2 linked regions of the Xenopus tropicalis genome follow. The protein of the gene in region 2 interacts with the protein of the main gene of each other region in a pairwise test. Links are inferred from orthologs where the notes say so. Each region holds a gene or a part of one and is shown on either strand. Other genes may lie near its edges.

Evidence for each region. The genes of interacting proteins can lie anywhere in the genome.
Region 1: the proteins of smurf1 (region 2) and wfs1 interact in binary tests that used the Homo sapiens proteins (3 or more experiments, as listed by UniProt). The link is inferred for Xenopus tropicalis from reciprocal best matches to the Homo sapiens genes SMURF1 and WFS1.

The regions. Positions count from the first base shown.
Region 1 is NC_030677.2:25,488,071-25,491,468, reverse strand, and holds part of wfs1 (wolframin), read left to right. Parts: intron 1-255; coding exon 256-426; intron 427-791; coding exon 792-872; intron 873-1,991; coding exon 1,992-2,137; intron 2,138-3,398. UniProt on the Homo sapiens protein: Participates in the regulation of cellular Ca(2+) homeostasis, at least partly, by modulating the filling state of the endoplasmic reticulum Ca(2+) store.
Region 2 is NC_030685.2:47,094,395-47,098,405, reverse strand, and holds the start of smurf1 (E3 ubiquitin-protein ligase SMURF1), read left to right. Parts: upstream 1-1,211; 5' UTR 1,212-1,359; coding exon 1,360-1,414; intron 1,415-1,496; exon of another isoform or gene 1,497-1,511; coding exon of another isoform or gene 1,512-1,518; intron 1,519-4,011. UniProt on the Homo sapiens protein: E3 ubiquitin-protein ligase that acts as a negative regulator of BMP signaling pathway. Mediates ubiquitination and degradation of SMAD1 and SMAD5, 2 receptor-regulated SMADs specific for the BMP pathway.

The DNA of each region.
Region 1 (3,398 bases), on a different chromosome or scaffold from region 2:
TCTATTCATTCACCTGTTCATATTCCAGTCTGTCTTTCAAACCACTGCCTGGTTGCAATGGTATATAAGACAGATAGCTTCTGAAATAGCAAACCAAAAAGCTAAATAACTGAAAAAGCATGAAAAAATAAATAAATAAAATTGAACCACCCCTTTAACAAACAGTGTGAGTTTGTGGGGGTCCTGAAGATGTAACGAGCACATGTAGTTCAATGTGATCCAGATTCCACTAACAGCTGAGCATTCCTTCCGAAGGAATTACAACTGAAAATGAAAGCGAGGTGAAGAAACTGTCATCTGAGACGGATTTGGAGAGGGCGGTGAGGAAGGCTGCCCTGGTCATGTACTGGAAACTGAATCCAAAAAAGAAGAAACAGGTGTCTGTATCCGAGCTGCTGGAAAATGTGGGCCAGGTCAACGCTGAAGGTGAGTGCTTGGCATCCACTGGGATACTGGCTGCTCTAGGGAGGGGGCTGAGCAGCGGTACCATGGAATTTTTATTGTCACTGTATAGGTCGCTGGTCCTATCGGATATCCTAACAGATGCTTCTTTTATATATGAGGAAATTATAGTAAGAGCTCCTTATCAGCCCCATCTAGTGCAATCAAGTTTATCTCTCTCTTTTATCTTTCCCTATACTGTTTTCTCTTATCTTCCCTAAAATAGATTTATTTAGTTGGTTCATGCAAGTAACCACCTATTCTTGCAGCTCACCTGAATACTATACCAGTGTCTCTATACTGTAATATAATATGAACCCCCAGGTTCAAACTGAAATTTTGTTTTCTAGATGGAAATAATGAGCCAGGACCCATTCCCAAGGCAGCACAGAAGCAGCGGAGGATCCTGGAACGTTTAGTCAGTAGTGAATGTGAGTAGATGATTGGTCCTTTTCAACTGTTCATGTTCATAGTGTGGGGGCTGCTGCATTATATAGAACAGTGATCCCCAACCAGTGGCTCAGGGGCAACATGTTGCTCACCAACCCCTTGGATGTTGCTCCCAGTGCCCCCAAACCAGGTATGGGATCCCTTATCGGGAAACCCGTTATCCAGAAAGTTCTGAATTACAGAAAGGCAATCTCCCATAGACTCCATTATAAGCAAATAATTCTAATTTTTAAAAATGATTTCCTTTTTCTCTGTAATAATAACAGTACATTTAATCCTTATTGGAGGCAAACAATCCTATTTGGTTTAATATTTAAATAATTTTTAGCAGACTTAAGTTATGGAGATTCAAATTACGGAAAGATCTCTTTTCTGGAAACCCCAGGTCCCGAGCATTCTGGATAACAGGTCCCACACCTGTAGATATTTTTGAATTCCTGACTTGGGGGCAAGTTTTGGTTGAATAAAACAAGATTTACTACCAAATAAAGCCCCTGTAAGCTGATAGTGTGCATAGAGGCCCCTAATAGCCAATCTTAGCCCTTATTTGGCTCCTCCATGAACTTTTATGGTGCTTGTGTTGCTCTCCAAGTCTTTTTACATTTGACTGCGGCTCATGAGTAAGAAAGGTTGGGGACCCCTGATATAGAAGATATGGAATCTGACATACTTGCCATTAAAACAGGGTTACACCAGTTCTTTTTTTTATTCCTATTTACTCTAGAGATATCCAGCCATTTACCAGCATGTCTATCACCTGTGTCCCATGCCTTCAGCTGTATTGTGTTACTCATTGTGGCTTATTTATAAAAACTAGGCAAATTTGCCCATGAGCAGTAACCTATAGCAACCAGTCAGTGATTGGCTTTTTCAGCCACCTGCAGGTTGAACAATGCAAATACACACTTCATTGGTTGCCATGGGTTACTGCCCAGGTGCAAATTTGCCCAGTGTTTATAAATGAGCCCAAGAGACTTTTATTGTTCTAATTAAACAATTTATTTTATTATATTTTTTGCTTTGTGCAGGGTGCCCCTCTTTCATTTCTGTTCCCCTGAGTACCATCACCATATAAGCAAGTTGTTTTTGTTATATTTCAGCAAAGAGCTTTATTGCTTTGGATGATTTCGTTGAAATTACCAAGAAGTACGCAAAGGGGATAGTCCCAAGCAATTTGATTATACACGATGATGAAGATGACGAGTTTGCTGGGAAGGGCCCAGAAGAGCTGCCTTTGCAACAAAAGGTTGCTGACTATACTCTTTCATGTCTTGTTTGTTACTGCCATTAAAGGGTAACAGTAGCACTAAATTAAAAGCACAGCTCTATGATCACTAGATGGCACTGTTTGTCCAGTTAAGGACAGTACTAATGTTTGCCTGTAGCTCTTCCCAGTCTTTTGTTCCCATGGGGTATTGGGTTAAGCTGCATATGAGGTTGCCAAACAAACTGATCTTTGCCAGATTTTGCCACCAAAGCATTGAGGCCAAATCGGGCTGATATGATCAGCTGCCCCAGTTAAAAGATCAGATCATACTGCAGCTCTATGGAGACCCATCAGGAGGGGACTGTATCTAAAGTCCCATGCAGTCTGGCAAGATTTTATAACCTACCTGATAGATAGCTCGCCAGTTTTTCAGCCAGATATCTGGTCCCATACACAGACCAATGAGCTTCCGACTTGGTCTGGAGGTACAGAGTCAGGCCCGGACTGGCAATTTGTCGATTCTGGTAAATGCCAGAGGGGCTGCTGTAAGATGCTATAGGCAGTCACTATTTATTGGGCCTGTGGGGGGCTCTGCATAACTGAAAATTTGTTTGAACCTGGAGAGTCTCCAGCCTCTCTCAGCCTGTTTATGGCCAGTTAACCGCCTTTACTGTTATATACTTTGTTTTTCTGGTTCTCAGTCCTGACAGGATAGAGGCATTGCTATCTGTGTACAACCAATGGATGGTGCTCAGCTCCAACATAGAAATATACAAGGCGTTTGTCTTTTCACTGGACAAAAAGCTGCATATTTTTAATAGATGTATATTGCAAAGTGGCTTGAAAGTATGTTTACTTTTCAAAAAGCTTAAAGGAACAGTAACACCAAAAAATGAAAGTGTATAAAAGTAATTACAATATAAAGTACTGTTGCCCTGCACTGGTACACCTGGTGTATATGCTTTAAAAACATTACTAGTAAACAAAGCTGCTGTGTAGCCATGGGGGGCAGCCATTCAAAGGAAAAAAGGCACAGGTTACAGATAGCAGATAAAACACCATTGTATTCTACAGAACCTATCTGCTATGTAACCTGTGACTTTTCTCCTTTTCTAACTTGAATGGCTGCCCCCCTGGCTACACAGCAGCTTATTTATATAAATTATAGATGTGTTTCTGAAGCAAACACACATGTTTCTGTTCCTTAAAGCTGTGTTTGGGTGGAGTTTTAGAAGTCACAATTGATTTAAAACCCACACATGGACCCTCCAGCAACAACAAGCACTAGTTTCTGAGCCAA
Region 2 (4,011 bases):
CCCAATTATATTCTACAGAGCTTATCTGACTCTGCTATGTAACCTTGAATGGCTGCCCCCATGGCTACATAGCAGCTTATTTAAACAAACTATAGTAGTTTTTCAGTTGCGCACACACACACTAGTTGTACCAGTGCAGTGCATCATTACATTACATTTTAATTACTTTTATTTTTTGGTGTTACTGTTCCTTTAAGGTGGCCACACATAGGCCGAGTTGGCTGCGTATCTATTGCCCTCTGGCCAAAAATTGGCAAGATGTTGTTAGGGCTATGATTGCATTGGCTTGTTGACACAGTCCTTGACCATTTGGCATATTGAGGAAAGATCCACTTGTTACGATTCCTTCTAAAGATAAACTGAAAACAGTAATGATTGTTAATTTCCGTGAAGTACTGATCTAAAGGTGATAAAATTTTGCTTTCCTGAATTTTTGTTGACCCAGTGTGTTTCCTTTTTGCTACAAACATTAAAGAAGAAAGAAAGGTAAAAACTAAGTAAGCTTTACTCAGATGTTCATCTGGAATGCTTGGGATCTGGAGTTTTCCAGCTAAGGGATTCTAGAAATGTTGTAAAAAACCCAAACCTTTGCCATATGTTTGAGGTTTCGCAGTTTGGAGTAGAAAGACATATTCAGCCATTGAGAAATGGTCAGAAAGTGTACTTGTCAGCAAATATAAAGTCTTCTGGGCTCTATGTACTGTTAGGGGATATTACACATAACACACATACAGCGTAATGCAATAAAATTGTACCCGATCTATTAACCGTTATTAATGAATAAAATGTTCTGTTTTGCCCAGTAAGTACCATGTGTTCATTAGCAAGAGTTTCACTCCACCTGGTGAAAACTTAACAATTACTGTTTTATAACATTATTTCCTATACGTGTTTGACCTATGCAAGTTACTTTGTGCTGCCCGATCACGCTTGTTTAATGTATCCCTTCGGTAAGCGTGTAATAACACCGTAATAATGCTATGCAGTTAGACTTGAATCAGGACATAAATCAAAGGCAGGTACAATACCTGGAGACTAGACCCAACCAACGATTTAATACAGCATTTTAATTGAACCATATTCTAAAAAAAAAACCTTTAAAGACAGCCTACAAACTTCATAAAGGCTAGGAATGAAATACCATGAAACAACCAACGCATCCCCTCCATTAACCTGTAGCAAATTAGCTTTCCAGTCCTGTACTTCACTCAGTCGCTCTCTATGACGTCAATATAGTGCGCGGCATAGAAGCTCGCTCTCGCGGTGTTTATATATGGACACCCGGTAGGATACACCCGACGTAACGGGATTGGCTTTTTTCCCCAATAACTTGTATGCAGGCTCCCGGCGTTTGGCGGGATGTCGAACGCTGTGACTCGGAGAGGTGGATCGAGTATCAGAGTTCGTCTGACAGGTAAAGACGAGTCGTACTCAAGGGTAGTACGGAATTACTGTATTGAAGCTCTGGAACGGTAAAGGATACATAGTATACTTAAATACGGGAGCACATCATGACAGGTGTGTTCTAAGACGTATGCACTGTGAATACAGCACAGTAGTGTGCTTTACAAACTCTCCTTTGCATGTAGTATACAGACATGCATATATATTGTGAGTGTTCTCCATGTAAATACCAGCTCTATCAGGTGCCTAATACATTCATTTAATACTTTTGCAGTTGTAGTTACAAGTGGTAATTTTAAGTTATCCTGACCTACTCAACAAGTCCAGTGACTTAACACTACTAGATATTTATTTTATTTATCATGGCTTGAATGAAAATCTTCCTTAACATAATGAAGGGAAAGGAAAACCATACACAACACTCCCCACATTCTTGTAGGCTATATCTGGTTATTCAGTTATCTGCCATATGTACTTTTTTGGGAGATTTATGTCTTAAAAAACTGCTCGTAATAAGTGGTTAAAATATAAGTGTTTTCTTATGTCACTGTCTTAGGGTGACTGTAGCATGTGTAGTAGGCCCCAACTTTACAGTGTACGTTCTATGTTAGGGTTAGTTTGGATGATGTGCTTGTCAGAGAAGTTCAGTCAATGGTGGGCAACATGGTGACCTTGAAGACAAAATTATAGTGGTTCAAGGAATACTGTCATGATTTCTATTGTATACATTTTATTTCTAAATTACACTGTTTACATAGCAAATAATTCATTCTATCATTTAAATTCTTTCTCTTGAATCAACAAATGTGTTTTTTAGTTGCAATATTGGTGTGTAGGCAGTCATCTCAGTGCATTGTACCTGAGTCTGAGCTTTCAGAAGGAGCCAGTGCTACACATTAGAACTGCTTTCAGGTAACCCCTTGTTTCTTCTTCTCCCATGTAACTGGAGGAGTCCAAAGCCGGACTTGGTTTTTTTACTATTCTGATATCTACTGGGGGCTGCTACGTTCCCATTGTTCTGCTGATCGCCTGCTGGGAGGTGGGTTTATCAGAACATAGGTCACATGGCTGTGGTACCCTGGGAAATGAAGAATATGTGAAATTTCATAATTAAATATAAAAAAAATCTGTGTTTTTGAAAAAGGAATTTCAATGCAGGATTCTGCTGGAGAAGCTCTGTTAACAGGTGTGTTTTGATAAAAACATGTTTTCCCATGACAGTATTCTTTAAGGCAGTGATCCCCAACCAGTGGCTCAGGGGAAACATGTTGCTCACCAACCCTTTGGATGTTGCTCTCAGTGCCCCCAAACCAACAAGATTTACTACCAAATAAAGCCTCTTGTAAGGGTATAGTGTGCATAGAGGCTACCTAATAGCCAATCTTAGCCCTTATTTGGCACCTCCATGAACTTTTATGATGCTTGTGTTGCTCTCCAAGTCTTTTTACATTTGACTGTGACACTCAAGTAAGAAGGGTTAGGGATCCCTACCTTAAGGTATAATATAAAGTGTAAGCATGGGGCACTTGGGAATGTTTCCCCTTTCAATTACTGTATATACTCGAGTATAAGCCGAGTTTTTCAGCACCCAAAATGTGCTGAAAAATTAACCCTCGGCTTATACTCGAGTCCCTCCAACTAACACCCTCTGCTACCTGATTCCCTGTGTGCTCTTTTGTGCTCCGCTGCTTCCTGGTTCCTTGCCCCACCCCCAGGAGTGACATCACACGCTCCCTGCTCTCAGCTCGGTGTCTGAGGGGGAGGGAGAGCCTTTACAAGCAGGCAGGAATGGAACTGTTTGAAGCAGGCAGGCAACGGAACATCAAGCCTGCATACTATTGAGGTGAGGAGGGAGGGAGCTCCTTGAAGTGAACCTCAAGCTGAATCCTCTCAGTTTATGATGTGCTCCTTTTGACAGGTTGAGGAGCAAGGCATTAATGAGTTATTACTTCTCCAGGTGACCCTGCTAGAGGAGGCAGTAGGGGGGAGCCTGGCATCTAGCAAACTCATTCCCTGCACGTATTTGTTCAGTAATAATGATAAATCCTAATTTTATTGGAATTTATTTTGATTATTGAAACTTAGAAGCTGTTGCGTTTCCCATCCTAGGCTTATACTCTAGTCAATAGGTTTTTCCAGTTTTCTTAATTAGGTACCTCGGCTTATATTCGGATCCGCTTATACTCAAGTATATACAGTAATCCTGATGATACTGGTTTAAAGAGTTTCACTGAACCCACATTTACCTTCTGGATTTTGCCAAATCCCAGAACGTTTTTTTAAAATCCTCTTCTTTTTTTTTTTTTTTTTTTCTTTTATTATGAAAATTTGCCTCCTACTAGTACTGTTTGATGGCAAAGGAAGCTTATAGCTAGCTAGTCTGAGAAATATTGAAGATATGGAAAAGTGAGAAACACATAGACTTTCTCAGGTAGTAGTTTATACTGGCTGCATGTGTATACACCCCGTTTGATGCTCTCTGAAGAAAAATTTTACCCATCGGTGGAATGAAATATTAACTGGTTGGGAAATAATATTGTGCCTTATAGCGCTGCCCAAATCTCTCTCTGCTGTAATGGAACAGCAGAGGTGCACATTCCTACTATG